Diceros bicornis minor: one gene and its partners. The protein of the gene in region 3 interacts with the protein of the main gene of each other region in a pairwise test. Links are inferred from orthologs where the notes say so. Each region holds a gene or a part of one and is shown on either strand. Other genes may lie near its edges.

Evidence for each region.
Region 1: the proteins of MTUS2 (region 3) and SETD5 interact in binary tests that used the Homo sapiens proteins (3 or more experiments, as listed by UniProt). The link is inferred for Diceros bicornis minor from reciprocal best matches to the Homo sapiens genes MTUS2 and SETD5.
Region 2: the proteins of MTUS2 (region 3) and CTSZ interact in binary tests that used the Homo sapiens proteins (3 or more experiments, as listed by UniProt). The two-hybrid records come from large-scale screens. The link is inferred for Diceros bicornis minor from reciprocal best matches to the Homo sapiens genes MTUS2 and CTSZ.

The regions. Positions count from the first base shown.
Region 1 is NC_080741.1:82,473,321-82,480,844, reverse strand, and holds the start of SETD5 (histone-lysine N-methyltransferase SETD5), read right to left. Parts: upstream 3,016-7,524; 5' UTR 3,006-3,015; coding exon of another isoform or gene 2,935-3,005; intron 2,117-2,934; 5' UTR 1,892-2,116; intron 1-1,891.
Region 2 is NC_080758.1:4,674,478-4,681,579, forward strand, and holds the start of CTSZ (cathepsin Z), read left to right. Parts: upstream 1-4,087; 5' UTR 4,088-4,234; coding exon 4,235-4,374; intron 4,375-4,804; coding exon 4,805-4,968; intron 4,969-7,102. UniProt on the Homo sapiens protein: Exhibits carboxy-monopeptidase as well as carboxy-dipeptidase activity. Capable of producing kinin potentiating peptides.
Region 3 is NC_080748.1:12,171,038-12,178,095, forward strand, and holds the start of MTUS2 (microtubule-associated tumor suppressor candidate 2), read left to right. Parts: upstream 1-4,044; 5' UTR 4,045-4,266; coding exon 4,267-6,501; intron 6,502-7,058. UniProt on the Homo sapiens protein: Binds microtubules. Together with MAPRE1 may target the microtubule depolymerase KIF2C to the plus-end of microtubules. May regulate the dynamics of microtubules at their growing distal tip.

The DNA of each region.
Region 1 (7,524 bases), on a different chromosome or scaffold from region 3:
AACAAGTATCCCAAAGAGCTGTACATATTTTATATAAGAGATTTTGTACCATTAAACACATGGGGTGAAACATGATAGCTGTTTATTAGGAATGGATTTATTTTTGGACGGGAAAAAGGAAAGTGGCATGAAATAAAAGATGGCCATGGAGATGGAGCTATGTTGGTTGTATCTTACCCATCTCCAAACTGAGTAAATATGAACATATGCACTTCATGTGCAAGTCTAGGGAATAAAAATAAAATGTATATTGTGGAGGTTAAAAGGCCATCCCACTTCATAATACTTTCTAGTCAAGCACAGCATTTATACATTGCTATGCATGCCAAATATTAAAATTTACTCATATCTTTTGATGAGGAAACTTTGCAATTTCCATACTGGTTACTGATTAATACATAGTTATATGCTGGCAGGTAACTACAGGATTTCCTAGGATATTCCTTGACATATATTCAGCTCTTATCTATATTTTAAAATATGGATTAAAAATTTGGAATGTTAGGATTGCATGTCTTGTTAGCCAATCGTTTTATGCAAAAGTATTTATAGCCTTTCTTCCCCTATGTTTGAACTGCTATGACAGTCGGGTACGTACACAGAAGCCATGCTTACAACAGATATACTCCATCAATTGTGTTCTAAGTACAATATGCAATCTGCTGCTATAATGTTACCTCTTAGAAAATGTCTGAAATTCATTTATGGCAGTATTGTAAAATCAGAAAAATCTTTGCTTCTATTATAACATCTAGAGGTTTTCCTACAAATATACAAAAAAAAATGCATAGTGCATATAGTTGTCATCAGATTTAAAATCCCATGAGGTAAGGTCTAGGTCTTCTATTTAGGTGGGTATGTTGCCCTTCACACCAGGTTTAATCTTAAGAGTGCCCAGAACAGTGGAATATGCATGACAGAGGAATATGCATGGTGAAGTGTTAACAAATACTATCTATAATTTAACAGATTGGTACGAAAGCTAACTGTTGAATTCTCTTGCTTTGTAGAAATACTAAAGGAATAACTGTGTAATTAGTTACAACCACAGTAACAGAAATCTGTTTGGAGATTATAGATTAAAACATTTCAGGAAATAGAAACACTGCAGTCAAATTTTTAGGCTAGAAGTATTTTTTATTTCTTCAATTACTTTTGGACTCCCTAGCAACATTTATGGGCAATCATCTCTGTATATTGGGAAAAAATACCAGTTTTAAGAATACTTGCTTTAGGTCTTTTTCTTATCTACTAATCTCAAACTCATTGATTTAATCTTTTTGTTGAAATTTCTCACAAAAGTTAATGCTATCTACCTATATAGTTTGTTAATCCATATAGGAGGCTAGTGGTTGACTTTATAAAAATCCATTAACACTATACAAACTATGTTATCTACTAACGCAGGAAGATTTTTCAGTAGTTTATTAGGGAAACAGTTGTAAAATTGGAAGTCTCAGCTACTAGCATAACTAAAATCTTAGCATGCAAAAAAATAAAAAAACAAAACAGGAAAAAAAGCCATGGAAGGAACACAATCCACTCTTCCCCATCCCCCTCCCTCCATCTTTCTTCTTATATGGAATAAGGGCAAAAACTGCTTTCAATTCTAGACCACCCCAGAATATAATATACTGCTTTTTAGGGTAGCTTCATTTTAAGTCTTCCTCTTTAACAAAGTCAGCAAACAGTTAAGTTATCCTATGAGGCCTTGAAGAAATGTACATGCTCTTTACTAACATTCTCAGTTTTAAGGAAGAAAACCACTATTAATTAGGGATGCAGTTGAACCCAGAGTTCTGGTACAGTTGCTTTGCTTTGCTGAAGGGGGAAGAATCCCCAGGGATTGTGAAAATGGCAAGAGAAACAGGGCAATTAGAGCAACACCCACCTCACTCAAGAAGTGGCTGTGGGATCAAGAGTCTGAACTGGACCTGAACATATTCAAAACACCAGGATTTTTCCAGCCCAGACCCTAATCCCTGGTACTGCCTGGAATAGACTTGGCTTCTGGGGGTGTGCTGCCCCCTAGGCCCCTTGGGTCTCTTTCGCTGGACTTTCACATCCTGGTGTAGTGCCACTTCGTCTTGAAAGGTAGGGGGCTTCCACTTCCTTTCTGTAAGCAAGGAAGATTGGGTACAAGGGAGGTAAAAGGACAAGAGGGGGAATCTGTGAGCAGGGGGAATCTTGGACAACTTAAAAGAGAAGGGATACAAAAAGCTAAAATTTTTAAAACTGTGAATAATATATAAAGTTTTATAATGAAGGCCTACCTTCATTGCCATTTGGCATTTAAATTCTTCAAGAATTGAGAGTCTATTTTAGGGATTGGGCTTTTCGACAAACTGAATTCCTAAAGCTGCTCTTAGCTGAAAAAAAAGTTTGGTACCACTGATTTTGAAGGTCCTCTTTCTAGGCAATGAATATTATAAAAAATAGAATGACACTGCTTTCTGTTTTCTACCCCAAATGTCAGAAGGTCTAAGTAACCTGTCCATATAAAGTTCCAGTCCCTTTACTCTAGAACATTGAGAAGTACATAGGAAGAGGCCTTCAAGGAAAATCAGTTGGAGAGAACTCCTCCCTATCTCCATCCATCAGAATAATCATTAACTCTACAGAAGCAGGTATTGACACCTACTTTATTTCGATCTCCCCCACCCATCAAAACTAACGAAAATGTAATCACTACTTTACAAATTTAACTCAATTATTTACTCGGAAATCCTGTCCCCCAAATTCTTTTCCTCCCTCTTCTCTTCTAACTCTTTTTTTCCTCCAGCTTCTATGGGTGAAAAGGAAAGGTCTAATATCATTTATAGTGGGCTAGGCTTGGGTATAGAAAATACTACAAATTTATTATTAGATGCCCATAAGAAAGCTGTCTCCACATAAACTGCTAATGCACCTACTACCTAAGGAAGTAGCACTTACTCTGATCCAGCAGCCATATCTGAGTAGGATGTATCTGGTGTGGTGACTCCCAGAGGGATTGCAATGCTCATGACGTCCAACACAGCAGAAAGTAGAAATCACGGGGTCCAATTAATGGAGACTGGCCACTCTGAGAGTGGGGGTGAGCTGCGGAGCCTCAACCAACATGTTATGGACATGAGGAAGCCTGCCATAGAAAAGAAAAATACGTAGTAACCAGAGAGTTCTTTAAATTTATCCTAAAGGCTACTGAATATTTTTCCATTTTTTGAACAAGGCTTTTAAGGGATAAATATAAAAGAAGTACAGCAAGGGATCTACACATTGTCCTATGTTTACTCTGTAATGCATTAATATTCCACAAAGAGAGGAAGAAAAAGTTATGCTTACTTTTCATTTCTATTTTAATTTTTCTTTTCTTTTCAGATAAAGGGAAAGTAATTGTCTACATAGCTCATTAATAAGCACATTTCCCCCATTCTACAAATGCTCATCAAACAAAATTTTCTGGCAGCTAAGACCTAAGAAACAAGTCTTAAAATACAGGATGGTTAATAGAAATATCATAGTTTAACTAAATTCTTTAACAATTCAAGATCTTCATTTAAACTTTTTTTTCTATTCCACAAATAAATGCAGTTTTACCAGGAGCTAATGGTAAATTAAATGATAAAATTCCAAATTAAATATGATAAAAGAGATCAACTTGTTTATATTTGATTGGATACAGCTGCTTCTTACTGCCTTCTTTCGTCACAGAATGCTCTTTTCCTTTCTTTTAAACCATTTTAACTATAATTTTGGGAGAAGATGCAATTTTTTTTTTTTTGAGGAAGATTAGCCCTGAGCTAACATCTGTTGCCAATCCTCCTCTTTTTGCTGAGGAAGATTGGCCCTGGGCTAACATCGTGCCCATCTTCCTCTCTTTTATAAGTGGGACGCCTGCCACAGCATGGCTTGATAAGCGGTGCGTAGGTCCATGTCGGGGATCCAAACCTGCGAACCCCGGGCCACAGAAGCAGAGTGTGCGAACTTAACTACTACCCCACCAGGCTGGCCCCAGAAGATGCAATTATTTTAACAACTATATTTGTGACATAATATCCACTGCTAGGTGTGAATAAAAACATAAACCACAGTACCGTTCCATGATAAAGATTAGAAAATTTTGTATGGAAAAGGAGTGAGGATACCTTGAGCTGGTGACCACAACCAGTGGAATTTGGGAACAGAAAGACTCACAAACTACTGAAGTGTAAAAAAGCAAAAGTAGATTAAGAGATTTGGAGGTATGATGCAAAGAGAAAAAACTGTACTTTGCATGATTTTACGTTAGTGGTTTTGTATTAACATTAAAAAACCATTAAAAGGACCAAACAACAAGCATTTTATGTGGGAGGGAAGAAAGAAAATGTGAATGTCAAAGATTCAGGTTAATACAGATTTTTGCAAAAATACTACAAAAAGAGTCATGATTGATATACTGATTCATGATAAGACAAGACAGTAGAAAAGTCAAATGATTATTTATACTAAAAAACCCAAATGGAATGAAAAGTACATGATATTGAGTCAATCCAAGGGATTTAAGGCAAATTTCAAATGGTAGATGATGTGAGGTGCTTGAATCTTATTTTGATATATGAAGCAAATTTATGGGGATAAGAAAATAAATTGTAAACAGTGAATCAGGCCAAGATTTTTAAGGCATAAAGATAAACTACTCTTTCGTGTTGCTATTTTAGAATGACAGAACAGCTATAAACTGCTATAAGCAGTCTTCCCTGGCACCTATACTTTGAAACAGCTAGATCTCACCAACGGATCTAGCACTCTCCAAATCTGGGTGTGGCAATACACCCATTCCAACTTAACTGGAGGTGACATAGTGCTAGACTCGGGACTGAAATGAAAAGAAAAAAAATCTTCCTATCTATTGCTTCCTCACAGCTCATAAAAGAGAAGTGATTAATATAACTTTCTGCCTTTGGGCTAATCTTACACACAGATGTTTCCTTTCCCTAACAATATATCCAAACAGAAATTTAGGCAGTACATCCTCCAAACCTCTGGGAAATTGAAATAAAATCTACAAATGATGGAAGAGAAAATACATATCAAATAAGCCCCAAAGAGCACAGTTAAATATTGGAGATAGTTGGTTACAACTCTTTCTCTAATTTTAGTATGACTGTAGAATTGAAATAAAAAGAAAAAAAGCCCAGAGGTTGCCTGGTTTGATAACCCGATCAGAGTCTGATAATGATCATACCTCCCCCGACCAATATAGGAATCTGAATCATGTGTTATATTTTCAGTAAAGGACAAAAAAAATTACTCAACACCATTAAAAATCCTTTGTCACAGCCATTACTATTATATGCCCGTAAAAAAAGTAGGCTTCTAGATAAAAGAAAACTTATAAACCTAAGCTAATGTTTAAAAGGAAAAGATGAAAAATTTACTCCAGATAATAGCTGCTTAATGAATGAATAAACGATTAATACATTCCTTAATGAAATCCCAACCCATCTAATTTGGATAGTTGATAAATAACTTTAAGAAACACTAAGTAGTTAACTATGAATTTCTTTCATGAATTCCTCCATTTTCCTTTTGTCTAGTTTTACATGATCCTTCCACTCTTCTGATGAAGACAATCATTATAGGTCAGCTTGGCCATCTTGTTCTAAATAATGTTTTCACAATATTGGGGCTTCTTAATTCAAAAAATGATAACAAAACCAAATTTCTCATATAACCCTGAGAGTAGTTCCTTCCTCTAATGACACTCTGCAAAATGTAGCTATTAAAACGTTAACTGAAGAACTTTTAACCGATTGTTCTATATGCAATATTTTCTTATTACAATCACTCTACAGTTTTATAAACCAAGATAATGGACTCATAGTTTAGTTTACCAAGCTTAGTAGTTATAGCAGTTATTAATTTATCACATAGTTTGAAGAGCGTCCTAGAGAGAGTAGTAAGAATTAACTCTGTCTCTAGGTGGAACAATTTCAAGATATCTTTCACTTGTTAATTTGTCTGTCTCTTCCTACCAGAATATAAACTCTATGAGGTCAGGGATTTTTGTTTTATCTTCTACTGTAGTTCCAATGTCCAGAACAATGTCCGGCACATACAGGGTGTTTAAGAAATACTTGCTAAGTGAATTATGATCACCATTATCTCAACATATGATTTTAACATTCATTAAAATACAAAAATTAAAATGAATTAAAAGAGTTTATTTGGCTCAGTCACCTTTTTATAGACCTCTGAATATGAAGTCCCCAAAAATTATCTTCCAGTAGCTCTGAAGACCTAGAAAAAGTTGAGACACAAATTAGTACAGAAAGAACACTGATGGATACAGAATAGGATTCTACAGAAATAATATTTTAATGATAATTTTATGTTTAATTTCTGTAAACATATTGCCTTGTTTACCAACCAATGTTCCACCTAGTACTGTATTTTTGTCCTTTAACCTTTATATCCTGTTTTCCTCTAAAGCCAGGACCTAAATAAAGGGTAGAAAAGGAAATTATCTTTATTTGACTTAAGAAGTGGCAAATACTTCATTATATCACTAGGTAATCCTTCACTTTCCTTCAAATTAGAATTCTCTCCCATTTCCCAAGAAATTCCTCTCTCTCTATCTTTCCTAGGAGATGCTTCTCTTCTCCAGTGACCCCTTCCTAAATTCAGAGGCTTTTCTGTAATCAAATGTCAAATTTACTCTCCAGTCAGACAAGGACCTACCATTACCTATTTAAAGTACAAGTTCATATGATTCCTTCCTTCCTCCCACTCCACCCCACCTATCTTCTTGTCCAACTATAGTAAAAGAGTGACAAAAAGGAGTCAATTCTATTTGTGGCCAACTCCATAATGGAAACATGTGGAAAAACAGAGCCTTAATCAATTTTCCACTCTCCAAAAACGAAAATAAAATAGGTCATGATCCAGTACTTTTGGGAGAAAAAAGTCAAACTTAACATAAGCCAGAATGAGGTATTAACACTTGACATGTTAATATATCATTATATGTGAAAAGAGCTGTTCATGGGATTCCAATTACCAAGCAGTAGAGAGGAAATGTACTCTATGTTGATATTTTATGGATTTCCAATTTATTAAAAATTGGAAAATCAACTATTCTTTAGAAACAATTTTAAAAGAGCATACTCGGGATTATAAAAACAAAAGGTATGAAGGTAGCAGTAAAAAGAAGGAAGAAAAAAATTAAATAAACCAAGGAATAAAAAGTAGACTCCTTTAGCAACAATAAATAAGAAAGATAAGAAATGACAGGAGAAAAGGAGAAATAAGTATATGAGTGTATGGTAGGGGGAAAAATAAATGCATCAGAATTTCAACTTCATTTCAATTTAACTATTTCCAGAACAGTCCATTAGAATCTGCAGGAACACTAACTAGTAAGTTCTTGCATTCAGAAGTAGAACCAGACTGTCTCCTAATACTGAGTACTCTTTTGAGAAGTCACCATTCACATACCGTTTCTAGAGAAAAGGCTGTTAGTTAAAGAGAACATGCCAGAAATGGTTTATAATTACTCCTGTC
Region 2 (7,102 bases), on a different chromosome or scaffold from region 3:
GAAATGTCTGCAGCTTGCAGGGTGGGAGCCAGACAACAGGGTACGAAGGAAGAAGGAAAGAGAGGACTTGGAGGCAATTCCATAGTAAACGAAAGCTCATCCTGTCGTCTTCTCCTTCAGTTTAGGAGATGGGCCGGCCCTGGCCTCACCTTAAAGTGTGTGTGTGTTATTTATCGGGATGAGGGGAAAAATCAACCTAATTTTTAGAAATGAGTAGGCTTTTGTATCATGGCCTTGGATCACGTGTTTGCCAGGAGACTTTATGGGGTAAAACAAGAAAGGGGGGACTAGATTCAATTGCCACCCGCAAGCCTCATGGGGCATACAGGTCTCTGACTGCTCTAGAGCCTGAGTCTTCCCACCTGTAAAATGGGGCGATAGCATGTGACGCACCTCACAGGTTGTGCCAAGGATCAAATGAAGACAGACATTTCACATACTGGAGAGTCTTCTAGAATGTCACTGTCTCTGCCTTTAAGCACCACTGGCGAGCGGGTATGACTCAGTTACATAAACAAAGAAAAGCCCAGGGCACTGGGTAGGCTTCCATGTAGAGAAATTTATAGTGGTTTCAGGGGAGACTCCGAGTCTCAAGGCCCCACTAGACTCACCCCAGATTGGACAGCGGGGATCATGACAGCTGACGAGACAGAGGCTGGAGCTAAGCTCAGGCAAGGGGGGCCTCAGAGGGGAACCGGTTGCAGGGCACTGCCCTGAGCCTTCTCCATTCCAGGCCAGAGGAGAAGATGAGTCTTTATCCACAAAATGCCCTCACAGGCATGCACAGTGGTGTCAGGAAGGGACACAGCTTTCAAGTTTGCAAAGTCCCCAAAGCTGCTGCCCAGGTGCCTCTGCTCTGATAAGAGACGAGCAGGTGGCTGGGGGTGGCCAGTCCAGCAGGTTCTTTGATGCAGCCTTCCTCTTCCTTAGTCCCAGCGGCCTTTTAAGTTTATCCGAGTGCCCTTCAGAGCTCCTGGGCCGGATGCCCTTCCCTAACGGCAGTGCATGCACGCGCCTCTGCTCTGCCCGCAGTCTGCAGGCCGGAATTTGGGTTTGGTTCGGTCCGTGGCAGGCCCCTCAACAGAACACATTTAGGAACCTCTGCTGAAAGGGATCCGTGCACAGTGGCAGTCACCCCTGAAGTGACGCAGCCAGTCCGCCTCTCAGAGCCATCAGCCAGGAGGGCACGCATCCGCCGACCACAGCTAAGTTCAGAGGCGAAGAAAGGGCCCCAGGGCCGCTTGGGTTCACGTGTCCGACCCGTCACAGGGGCTGAAGAGGCAATGAGTCACGTTGGACCTCACTTCTCCTTGCCTTGAAAGTTGTGGTTTCAAATGTCTGGACTCCCTCCCCTCCTCCTGCCGACTGAGTTGCTCCTATGTCAGAGAAATACTATGCCACAACGTGTCAGCTCTGGATGTCCCATGCGTTACCAGCCGGAAAACGTCACCCTCCCTCTCTGTAGCCTGCATTTCACGGGGATGAATGCTGCCTGCCTTCCCTCCATCTGTCTGACCCTTGCTGGAGGCCCAGCTCCAGAGTTTGCAAGGCCCGGAGTAAAATGAAAACGTGGGGCCCTGTTCAGTGCAGCATTACACCAGGAGCGGGGACCTCTGAGCTCGGGGCCCTGTGCGACTGCAGGGGTCACATGCCCGAGAAGCTGGCCCTGCCTGTCCTAATACCTTCTACACGAGGCAGACCTCTTCTAAGAACCCCAGGGCATCTTCAGAGCATCCAGGTCTCCCAACACTGCGAGAATGGCAAAGCTTGTATGCAGCGCATTTTCACCCCATATCAAGCGCACCCGGAGTCCACGGCCCAGTCGTCAGAGGCGAGGCCTAGCACGAGCCCTCCCCCTCCCGGCCTCCTGTTTCCCATGTTGTAAAACACGGGGTTGGACTTTGCACCTTCTGGGCCCTGACAGTCTATAGGTACTTGGGTGTCCCCACAAGATTTGTTACCCTGCAATACTGTGACCACTCTCGTCATTCTTCAGCAACATGAGCTTCTAGATTTTTCTCTAGAGACCAAAAACCCACCTCTTAGGCAGACATCCCGCCTGGATGACATCACAGGGACAATCCTGCAGGCTTTCTCCTCACTCCTCTCCACAAGGCCGATTCACCTTAGACATGGAGGAGAGGGCTGACGTGAGAAGGGGAAGGTCCAGCCGGCAACTCCTTTCGAAGCCACGCCGTTTACACCCAGAGTGAAGCTTTGAGGCCAGGCCCAGGACACCCGTTCCAGCAAACCAGTCCCTACAGCTCAAACCTGAGTGTTTTCTCACAGGCTCAGGTGGCAGCCGGGTCCCACCCCATCCACCTCCTAACGATGAGCTGACTGGCCCTAAGGGTTTTCAGGAGCTGACTTCCTGAGAAGATAAAAGACACATCAGTGGATAGAGCCCGTGTCTACACTTTACCTCAGCGATAGCTTTTTAAGAACAAGACTAGGGGGGCCGGCCCCATGGCGTAGAGGTTAAACGCGCGCTCTGCTACTGGCGGCCCGGGTTCGGATCCCGGGCGCGCACCGACGCATCGCTTGTCAGGCCATGCTGTGGTGGCAGTGTCCCATATAAAGTGGAGGAAGATGGGCACAGATGTTAGCCCAGGGCCAGTCTTCCTCAGCAAAAAGAGGAGGATTGGCATGGATGTTAGCTCAGGGCTGATGTTCCTCATAAAAAAAAAATAATAAATCAATAAAAAATAAATAAAAATAAATAAAAAAAAAAAGAACAAGACTAGGGGCCAGCCCAGCGGTGTAGTGGTAAAGTTCACGTGCTCTGCTTTGGGGGCGTGGGGTTCGCAGGTTCAGATCCCAGGCACGGACCTAGGCACCACTCATCAAGCCATGCTGTGGCAGGCAACCCACATATAAAGTAGAGGAAGATGGGCACAGATGTTAGTTCAGGGCTAATCTTCCTCAGCAAAAAGAAGAGGATTGGCAACAAATGTTAGCTCAGGGCTAATCTTCCTCACCAAAAAAAAAAAAAAAAAAAGAACAAGACTAACACTTCTGGGCTGATAAAGCAATGCCAGGCCTTTGCTTCTAAAGCCTCACTCTGCTCTGACAAGCACTGCCAGACAGGCTTCCCAGCCCTGCTAGGATTCTGTGGTCACCTCAGTGCTTCCAAAGGTGGTCATGGAAATTGCTGGAAGTCCACGGGGCAGCCACTTTGATTTCTGACTGCCAGCCTGGCACAGGCGGAGGGAGGGGCCGCAGGAAGGTGCCGAGTGCCCACTGAGTTCATCTTAGGACCCTACAGCAAAGGCCTGCGGGAGCCCTAGAACAAAACGCCTGGACCCTTGTCTTACAAGAAAAGGAAAGCCATTTTGTTGGGCAGGAGGAGGGGAGAAATCTTGTTAGGAAACCAAGGCGTGGGGGTCCCACTTCTGCTTTCAGTTCCCCATTTGACTATGAAGAGCTTTGTTAGCAAGAAACCTTTTCCAGCTCTTTGGAAGTTGGAATGTAGAAGTAAAGATTTATGTGCCAAGTGTAACTTTCTTTAGGGGCATTTTCTAGGGGCACCTCACCTTCCCTTTCTGTGAAGGGTACTCATCTATCCAGAAAGCGCCTGGGCCTTTGGGAAATAGGGTTCAGAAAGCCAGGCCAGGGCACAATTCTGTGGGACAGCTCAGGACTTGGGGAGATCCCTGCCCGTTCCTAGGGAGGCCTGGGCCCAGGTGGGATGCGGGGACAGGTGGCACCTCTCCAGGGCCGAGGGTCCAGAGAATCCAAGGCTGGCAGGGCCATTCAGACCCTGCAGCCCCCACCTCCTGCCCCAGGGCTCCTGAAGGTCTGACGATGATGCACTCAGTCAAGCCACCAAGCCACGTGGCTAGTGGCTAGTGGCTAGTGGCTAGTGGTGGGTCGGGTCTGGGGTCTGGCTCCAAGGCCTGGTGCGTGACCCCGAGTTCAGGCGCCCCCCGCCCAAAGGCGGAAACGGAGGCCCGGGCCGGCGGCTCCCTCGGGGCTGGCCCTGCGGCGGTCGGCCGGGGCGTGGCCGGGGTCACCGGGGGCAGGAGCGGGCGGCCCCGCCCCGGGGGTGTGTCCGGGCACCGGCGCCGCCACCTTAAGGGCCGGGCGGGGCCAGGTCCAGAGTGCGAGGGCCGGCGGGGCACGGGCTGGAGCGGAGGGGCCCGGGAGATCCGAATCGGGACCCGGATCAGGACTCGGATCAGAACCCGGAGCGGGATCCGAATCGGGACCCGGATCAGGACCCGGCGAGGGAGCCATGGTGTCGTCCAGGCCCGCGCGGCTGCTGCTGCTGCTCGTGCTGCTGGCGGGCTCGGCGCGGGCCAACCTCTACTTCCGCCGGGGCCAGAGCTGCTACCGGCCCCTGCGGGGGGACCAGCTGTCCAAGTTGGGGCGCAGGTCCGGCTGGCTTGGGGGGCTGGCCCATCTCCCGGGGCTTGGCGCGCACTCCCGCCCCCTTGGGGTGCCGGGAACCCAGGCCCCTGCCTCTCTGACCTTTGAGGGTGGAATCCAGCCCCTGTGATTGGGGAGTCCCTCTTGCTCTTTGGCATCCAAGGGAGCGCTGGTGTTGGTGGTTGGACAAGCCCCTCCTGTGCCGGGAGCAGGCCGGCCCACCTCCCTGGCCTTTGGGGCTTTGCTTGGGGAGCAGTGTGGTTCCTGCATTTCCGGGGGCCCCTGCCTCCTTCAATTCTGAGAAGGCGGGGTCTCCCAGTGTGACATGGGTTCACCTAGTGATGAAAGTGTTCACCCCCATTCCCTTTCATTCTGGGGAGGGGAGAGGGCACCAGGAGCCTCAGTGATGATTCTGGGGGTGGTGGTCTCTTCCCAGGACATACCCCCGGCCTCACGAGTACCTGTCCCCATTGGATCTGCCCAAGAGCTGGGACTGGCGCAACGTGGATGGCGTCAACTATGTCAGTGTCACCAGGAACCAACACATCCCCCAGTACTGCGGCTCCTGCTGGGCCCACGGCAGCACCAGCGCCATGGCGGGTAGGTGGAGGGCCCTTGGCTCCACAAGGAGGCCAGGAAGCCTCCTTGTCAGGGTCCCAGGGACCTGTGATTCCATGCCAGGACATTCAGCCTGGGATGGGGGCATCTGAGCCTCTCAGGACTAGGGGAGCTGACCTGTGCCCTCTGCTGCCCCTCACCATCGAGGAAAGGCTGAAGGGACACAGGCTAGACAATGTCTCCGCTGTGCAGGGTGGGCGTGGCTGGGGCCTGTGGGTGGCAGGCAGGACTAGGACTGAAGCCCAGTGACAAGTGGCTCCCAGATGCCTTCTGTCTCCCAGAGCTTGTGACCCCGGCCATTTGGGATGGAACCAGAAATTTAACTCACCGAACCCCCTGCTGGTGTTTGGGGGCGTGGAGGTGAAGCTGCTGTTCAGCAGCAGTCAATATGTGAGGGGAAGGCCTGTCCTGGGCTTGGAGTATTGAGTGGGGCTGGCCAGTTTTCTCAGCAGGACCTTAGCCAGCTGGCCACGGTGAGGGCGGGAAGGCTTGTGGCGAGGAAGGAGGGGGACGCTGAGGTCCTTACTGCTTGAGAAGGCTGCTGGGCCTTGCCTTGAGGAGAGGAGGGAGAAGAAGAGACTTCAAACCATCCTTGGGGCCTTCATTCAGCCCCACGCCTGCCTGGTACATGTGGGAGGGGCTCTGCCATCTCCAGGGGGAGCCCAGGGTTCCAGAAGCCTGCACTGGAATTCCATTGGAGAAGGGACTCTCTAACTGGGAGTCTGGCCTTGGGAGGCCTTGGGTGCATTGCCTCCTGCCTGACTTGGGTATCTCACGGGGCAGTCTTGCTGTAGGTGTGGCATTGTGTTAAACGGATTAACAGCCACGTGGCTACTGCTGCTTGCCAAGGCTCGGTGGCATCATCGCCCTTGTCTGTGCCTCTTCTCATTTAAGCCTCCCAGCTGCACTGTGGTTGCTCCCAGTTTGCAGATGAGGAAACAGACACTCTGGTAGGAAGGTCAGGAGACTTTGCCATGGTGTGAGTGACAGCCGAGAGTAGAACCCAGAAGCCTGGGCTTTGGGCCAGGACCTCTGCTGGGCTGTCTTTAGGACGAGGAGTGGAGTCTGGACCCCAGAGCCAGCTAGCTGGGGCATCTGGGGCATCTGATGGGGTCTCCCTGGTGGCCCTGCCCTGTCTCTCTCTTCTGACTCTGCAGGTGGTCTGAGGCTCTGGTTCAAGGTACTGGAGCCCTTGCTGGCGGCTGAGAAGGCCCTCTGACTGGAGTGGAGATGGACAAGGCCCTGGAGAAGGGGGAGCCAGAGGCTTAACCACTGGAGCCACTGGGAGACCTTGGGCCAAGCGGGCAGGCAGGGTGTGGGCAGGCCTTGAGGCCGAAGTTCAGGGCAAAGGCTGGGGCAGGAGTGGAGCTGGCTTTGAGGAACTGAAAGAGGGCCTTTGTGGTGGGGCCCTAAGGGTGGGGGAGGGGGAGCTGAAAAGGTCTTGGGGAGGGGAGGGGCCTGGCAGAAGCCTTGAGGGATCTCAGAGGAGGAGTCACGTGCTAAGACTGCATTTGTAAAAGACTGCAGGGCGGGGAGTGGAGGGGCTGGCTGGAGGTGGGCCCTTGATGTGCTCCCTCTTCAAACAGGTCTTGGCTGGGAGGGTTAACCCTGCCACATTTCTGGAGTGGAATCTCTCTCCTGGGCAGACGACTGCTTTTGCCTCTTTCTCCCTAACCTTCTGACACCTTCCACAGCGGCAGGTCCCTTCTTCCTCTTTCGCTGAGAAAATAGAAGCCCCCAGAAGGGGACTTCCACAGGCGCGGGCCCAGCTGGCCGTAGTTTGCCTTCCTTCCTGTCCAAGCCCCTCGTTCACTGTGAACAAATGAGCAGGGGCCTCGACGCCACCCCACCTCAAGCCACCACCCCACTTCTGGGCTCCTCTCCTCTGTCCTTGAACCACTCCACCGGCCCCGCCCTTGCCAAGGTCGCTGGCCACCATGCAGGCAGGTCCAGTGCCAGCTCCCAGGCCTCACCCCGCTTGGTCGAGCTTGCCCAGCTCTCCAGACGCCTTCCTGGCCTTCCACCACACGGCCGGGTCTCCTTCTTCCTCCCTGGACGTTCCTTCCAGCTCCTTGGCCAGCTCCTCATCCTCTCAACTTCCCAACATCAGCTTCCC
Region 3 (7,058 bases):
TACAGTTCCACCAATAGGCAGCGTTTCTTTTTACAGCTTCCACTTTCTGCCTGGATTTTACCTTCCTGTCTCTGTCCCTGCTCCGCCACTTCTTAGCTGTGTGACCTTGGGAATGTTACCCTCTCTGTGCTTTCACTTCCTTACCTGGAGAGAAAGAAAAAAGGCAAGGGGATGTTAAGATCTATCTCTGGAGGCCATTACAAATATTAAATAACTTAACTTAAAATTTAAGATTAAATAAAATTAATTATAATTTAAACATTAAATTTTGCAGATATGGATTAGTGCTGAGAATAATACTTGGGCCCTCGGAGGTTCTACCTTTCCATCCCCTTACCAATGTAACATTTATTGTTTACTGACAAAGAAAAAGAACATTTATTATGTAATTCTTTAAAAATTAAAATACAATTCTTTCTAGCAAGATACTGATTTTGCACCTGTTTGTCACTTTCTAGCAGTCAGATTGTGGATTGTGGTTTATGATGCTCTGGTTTTGCTGTCACTGCTGAGAATTCATTTCTTTCTTTCTCCCAGCTTCAATAGTTCAAACCAAAGAGGGCTCTTGGTTTCATGCTTTAAATTTTGCCCACAGAGAATCAGAGATGCTCACTTTCTGTGGATGGCCCATGTCTATGGAATTCCTTGCTCTCCCTGACTTTCTGGGATACCTGTTTCCTGACCCAGAGAGCACAGTGTTCTTTTAAACTGTTGTCTTATTGATTTGCCCACATGCTTTTTATATTTGTCCCCAGAGGACATTTGTATCTTCAAGGAAAACACTTTTAAAATGGAGTAAAGAAAGAAATGTGGGCTCATTGAGAATTACTTCTGTGTCAGGGAACCGAGGTTGGGAGCAGAGTGTCAGCACCTTGCTTAGGCTTGAGGGCTGTATCGGGCCAAGGCTGGAGCTGGCGGTGTCCCTGGTTCACTGAAGGCAGGCCTGGAAGAAGACAGAGAAGGAGAAAAAGAATGTGGGAGACACAAGGAAGTGGGAGGATGAAGATAGTGAGTGTGACATGAAGAGAACAGAAGAGCAGTGTGGTGGGAAACAAAAGCACACACTGCTATAGGTGTGTGTATCTGGATAGGAGTATACGGACATGGGGAAAGGAGTGGAGAGACCTGCACCAGGATGTTAGCGTGTCTTGGGCTAAGGGAAGAAGGGGCAAATAAAAAGAAAAAAAACTGACAAAAAGCCAGCTTATAGGAAATGATCTCATTTAAGTAAAAAATACATGCTTATGTAATAGATGCAAAAGAAATGAAAGGAAAAGAGAGCTCTATCAGCTGAGTTTTTAGGGATGTCCATGATAGGCTGTCAAGTGAAAAATTAAGTTAGAAAAGTTGGGAGCTGGGATGGAGAGGAACATGGAGGTAACTGCAATTTATTGGTGATTTCTCAGTCCTTGGTTCTAGGTGTTCATTATGTTATTTTGCTTTATAACATACATTTGTGTGTATATATATATATGTATATGTATTATGTATACATGAATGTATATACATGTATGAATACACAAATATTCTTTTTTTTTTTTTTTTTTTTTTTTTTTTTTTTTTTTTTTTTTTTTTTGGTGAGGAGATCAGCCCTGAGCTAACATCCGCCAATCCTCCTCTTTTTTTGCTGAGGAAGACGGCCCTGGGCTAACATCTGTGCCTATCTTCCTCCACTTTATATGGGACGCCGCCACAGCATGGCTTACCAAGCAGTGCGTCGGTGCGCGCCCGGGATCCGAACCAGCGAACCCCGGGCCGCCGCAGCGGAGCGCGCGCACTTAACCGCTTGCGCCACCGGGCCGGCCCCCTTCTTTTTTTTTTTTAAAGATTTTATTTATTTATTTTTCCCCCAAAGCCCCAGTAGATAGTTGTATGTCGTAGTTGCACATCCTTCCAGCCGCTGCATGTGGGACGCAGCCTCAGCATGGCCGGAGAAGCGGTGCGTCGGCGCTCGCCCGGGATCCGAACCCGGGCCGCCAACAGCGGAGCGCGCGCACTCAACCGCCAAGCCACAGGGACAGCCCACAAATATTCTTTTGAATGTATGAAATAATATATTAAACAATGATGAAGAGAAGACAAGCAGGTTGCCACGTAACTTATTTCAGTGGAAACGTGACAAGAGCCTCCCACGTAATGTGCATCTCAGTACTCGCATATTTTGTATGAATGAGGGGGAAGGTGTGGAAGGCTGTTAACTTTGAATCCCCATTGGGGGAATTGCGGACGGAGCGGAACCTTGTTCCTTTTAAACTCTCCCATCCCTGGTGCCTAATAAAATGTATTCACAGTAGTGGATAAAACAATGTTAGCCTTGAATTGAGAGGTTTAGGGATGATCTGTGAGTCTACTTTCATAGAAATTTAAATACTATGTTAGATTTTAAGCCCTATGAGAGTAAAAATAACATTGTTCTTCATCATTCATTCATTCATTCATTCATGCTACAAATACATATTAAGTGCCTAACACACATGCTAGGTGTTAAACGATATTTTCTTTAGTGTCTAGCACATCTGATTTTTTTTTTTTAAAGTGAAAATATGGGATATGATAAAAGGTCATTATAGAAGGAGGTCGGAAAGGCTAGTAGGTCGGGAAGGCTTCCTGGAGGAAGTGGTACTTATGCTGCAAACTGATGAATACAAAGGGGTTAGTTGAGTAACGTTGAGGGAAGAGTCCGCATTCTATGCAGATGGAAGAGTACGAGCAAAGCCCCCCCGAAGCAGGGAGGAAGGAACATGGTAATATGAAGAATGAGGCCAGTGTGGCTGCAGCCTAGAGAGGAAGAGGGTGAGTAGTGAGGATGAGGCTGGAAAGGTGTGTATGGGCTGGATCATGCAGGCCCTGAAGGCTGGGATAGAATTTTCCTCCAGCTTTTTATTTTGAAAAATTTCAAACTTATAGAACAGTTGTAGGTATAGTAGAATGGATCACCTAGATTTTCAAATTATCATTTGGCACAGTTGCATTTTCTCTCTCTCTCTTTCATATGCATCCCCACCCACCCCCCGACACACATATTTTTCTCTTTGTTGAACCACTGGAGAGTAAGTTACAGACAACATGTCATTAAAAGACATGTCATGTTTAAAAGCATGTATCTTCCAAGAACAAAGATTATCTGATATAATCACAATAGTATTATACACCCAAGAAAGTTAACATTGATAAAATACCTTTACCTAAAATACAATCCATATAGAAACCTGTAATTGTCCCAATAATATCCTTTGCTAATTTTTTGTAAAATCAAAGATCCAGTCAAGGATCACGCATCATTCGTAGATATCTGTTAGCATTTTGGAGGCAAGTTTAGGCCAGTTATTTTAAATTTGTCTGATTATTTCCTCATGATTAAATTCGGGTTGAACATTCATAGCGAGAATACTGCATAGGTGATATAGGTGCTGAGGACTGCCTACATCAGGAGCACGTGGTGTCAGTTTCCACTAGTGACATGGTAAATTTGATCACTTAGTTAAGGTGGTGCCTACCAGCTTTCTCCATTGTAAAGATAAAATTTTTCTTTTGTAAGAAATAAAGTAATCTGGAGGATGGTACCTTATGATTCCATGAATATCCTGTTCCCCAAACAACCTTTCAACCAGTATTTTTCAACCATTGGTGTCCCTTGCCCAAGATAATTATTACTCTGGTGACTACAAAATGATGCTTTTTCTAATTCTATAATTTTTCCTGTATTAGTTGATATTCTGTAAAGAAGAGCCTTCTTTTCTCCTCCACCCTTTTTAATCAGTCTTGGTATGAACTTGTAGGTTTTTAAAATTTAATTTTAAGATTTACTATGTTTTCATAATCTATTTCTAACATGAATCATTTTGATGTTCCAATTTTCCCATATTTGGCCAGCAGGAGCCCCTATCTGAAAGGTTTTTGAGAAATATGTGGATAGAGTGAATTAAATAATATTATGAAAGTGATTGTAATCTGTGTTTACTATGATTTTTTCTCCTGAGAATCTCTGTCGATCTAATCTGATTTATTTTTATTTCTCTCTAGGTCTCATGGACTAATTGGCTCTCATTCAGCAGGAACCTAGCAGATCAGTCATCCTGCTGTATGCCAAGACAATGCTTGGTTTTAAAACTGCTCTGAAAATGATTGTAGCAGTGTCGCAATGTGACATTGTCAGGGGGCAACAGGCAGCTTGAGAATTTCCTATTAATCAAATAGCAGCTTGAAGGAAGCCCCTTTCCATTAAGTAGGACTGCATGGCAAGCAGCCCCCACTGAAGGGTTGAAAATGAGCGTCCCAGTGGCTCCTAAGAAATCATGTTACACTCAGTTGCGGGACAACCGAAATGGAGTGAAAAATAATAACGAGAGTATCCTAAGTCTGGGGGATACCAATGCCAATCAAATCACATTGGAGGTCAGTTCCTCTCATGATGAGTCTGAGACATGTGACCTGAGAGATGAAGTTGGAAATGCAAATACAAGTGAGCCAGGAAATGGCACCCATTTCAATAAGGAATTTCACCAACTTCAGGGCATTGGGAAAGGATCTCACGCCGGCCCCACCAGCCTGAAAGATTTTAAGTTTTCTCCAACCGTTCCTAGAGAACTAAATGAAGAGCACACAATGGAGAGAGGCACACATATCCCGCAGACCCCTCGGAGTATTCAGGGACCAAGCCTGTCAAGTTGGAGGAATGTTATGGGTGAGTCCAGTCCAGAGGTTTTGGCTAAAAGGGATGTTGAAATTCCCCGGCCTGTTCCCAAGGATAAATTGGCAAAGACCCTTGACAATGAGGAATTGAGAAGGCATTCTTTAGAAAGAGCAAGCAGCTCTGCTCTTGCAGTGGACGTGCTCACAAAGGAGCGTGTTGGGAGCCTGACTCGGCAGTTTCTGCAGCCTGCACCGCTGGACTCCCCTGAAGCCCCCTGTCATGTGCCCAGCGGTGGGGAGGGGCCACAGAGGACATTGACAGCCCACTCTCTAGGGGCAGCTTTGCTTCCAGCTGACAATACCTCAGAGGGCAAGAGTTTGCGTCGTCCTAAATCATCTACCTCAGAAACCAAGGAGGCCACCCCCTCAGAGACCCAGATGGAGGGGGCACACGTACCGAAAGTTAGTGACAAGAGCACATCACGTTCTGCCCACCCAGAGCGTGCTCTGAATTCAACTTCAGCATCAAAGGAAGTCCTGAGTAAGCCAGAAGCACAATTAGGTCAGGGAAAGGCAGAGTCCAGGCCGGAGCTGAAATTTGTCCAACCCAGGGCCGTGCAGGAATTAAAGTCAACCCAGGCGGAGGGTCTGGGATGTCCTGAGGAGGATAGTATGTTGTCCCTAGAGAGAAAGGGGCCATGTGGGGAAGCACAGCAAGAAGCCACCGCTGGTACACTGAGCAGTCTGTCACATGGCAGTCTCCACCACGTTGGCGTGGGAAGAGGCAGGAGTGGTGAGCAGGAGAAGAGAGCAGTCAGCCTGGGTGAGGAGGGATTTCTTCAAACAACCCCCCAACAGAGCCCCGATTCCTTGGGAGCTGCTGATAATCAGCCCACTGGCAAAAATTCACCAAGTGCAGCTAGGAAATTGGGTGAAATGGCATCCAGCAGCATCTCACCAGGTGATGGTCATGTAGATTTTATTCCTAAAGATCCAACTGACAGCAGGCCCTTGGATGTGAGTGAGGGGAGAGAGGTGCTGGGCAGTGGGACCAGGGACAGTGCTACGGTTTCCACTTCAGATGCTTTGATTGGAGAGAGCAGAACTGAGGTCCCTGAGCCCCTTGACCCTCAAAGCAGCAGCTCAGAAGCAGGGGAAAGCAAAGAGATCATTACATCTGTTGCCAAAAGTAGGAACCGTCTAGAAAATGCAGTTAAGACTGAAAGTACCCCAGCAAGTACAGATTCTCCTCTCAATGTCCCAGCACCCCTCCACCCAGAGACAACTGTGAATGTGACCCACCAGCCTACACCACCCAGTAGCAGTTTTCAGGACTTCGGTGTGTTGAGTGTAGACACGGGGTCACCCTCGGCTGCCCCACCTCCCACCGACAGTGCGCGGTTGTTGACCCCTTCCCCGAAAGTGCCTGACAAGGACACCTGCCCCACTGGGATCCCCAAGCCTGTCGTCGTACGTTCCGAGGATGTACCTTTCTCACAGGAGGGAAAGGAGAACTACCAGGTTGAAAAAACAGAGGAAAGGACAGAGCCCAAGCCCGTCGTCATGCCCAAACCCAAGCACGTGAGGCCTAAGATCATCACCTACATCAGGAGGAATCCTCAGGCCCTTGGCCAGGTGGACACTTCGCTGGTTCCAGTGGGGCTTCCGTACGCTCCGCCCACATGTACCATGCCTCTTCCCCAAGAGGAGAAGGCGGCGAGTGGTGACCTGAAACCGTCTGCCCACCTCTACGAGAAATTCAAGCCAGACCTGCAGAAGCCCAGGGTCTTCAGTTCTGGACTGATGGTGTCCGGGATCAAGCCTCCAGGACACCATTTCAGCCAAATGAGTGAGAAGTTTTTGCAGGAGGTAAGAGAGTGTCATTGTGGTACGAACTATAGGTTGAACATCCTAAAGTTTGTTGTGTATTTTCGATGATTTATGAAAACAGAATATCCTCTCTTAGCAAATTGCAGATTTTGATGGATACACTTGTACAGAAATGGATGTTTTTAAGTAGAGGAGATCATAGACAAATGAACACTTTTGACTAGAAGAGTTTGGCGGTCATAATGAGATGGATTTAACATCTAAGGAGACTTGTTTAAATACCATATAATACATATGAAGTTAGATGTCTGCATTTAAATTGGCTCCTATGTTTAAATAAGTGAGGCTAATTCTTCTATAAGCCAGGTCAATGGAAAAAAAAATCCAAAATAAATATATTGTTCAAATTGATCAGACTTCACCCCCCAAGGGGGAATGTTTTCCTTACGGGAGATTCTCGCGTTCATGCATGTGAAGAACACAGTGAGTAGAAAATGATGTGTTAGGTGTGGGCTCTTTGTTTTAAGTGAGAATAATAATTACAACTGACGTTCGGTTGAGCGCCTGCTGTGCATTGGGCCCACAGAACATGTGTT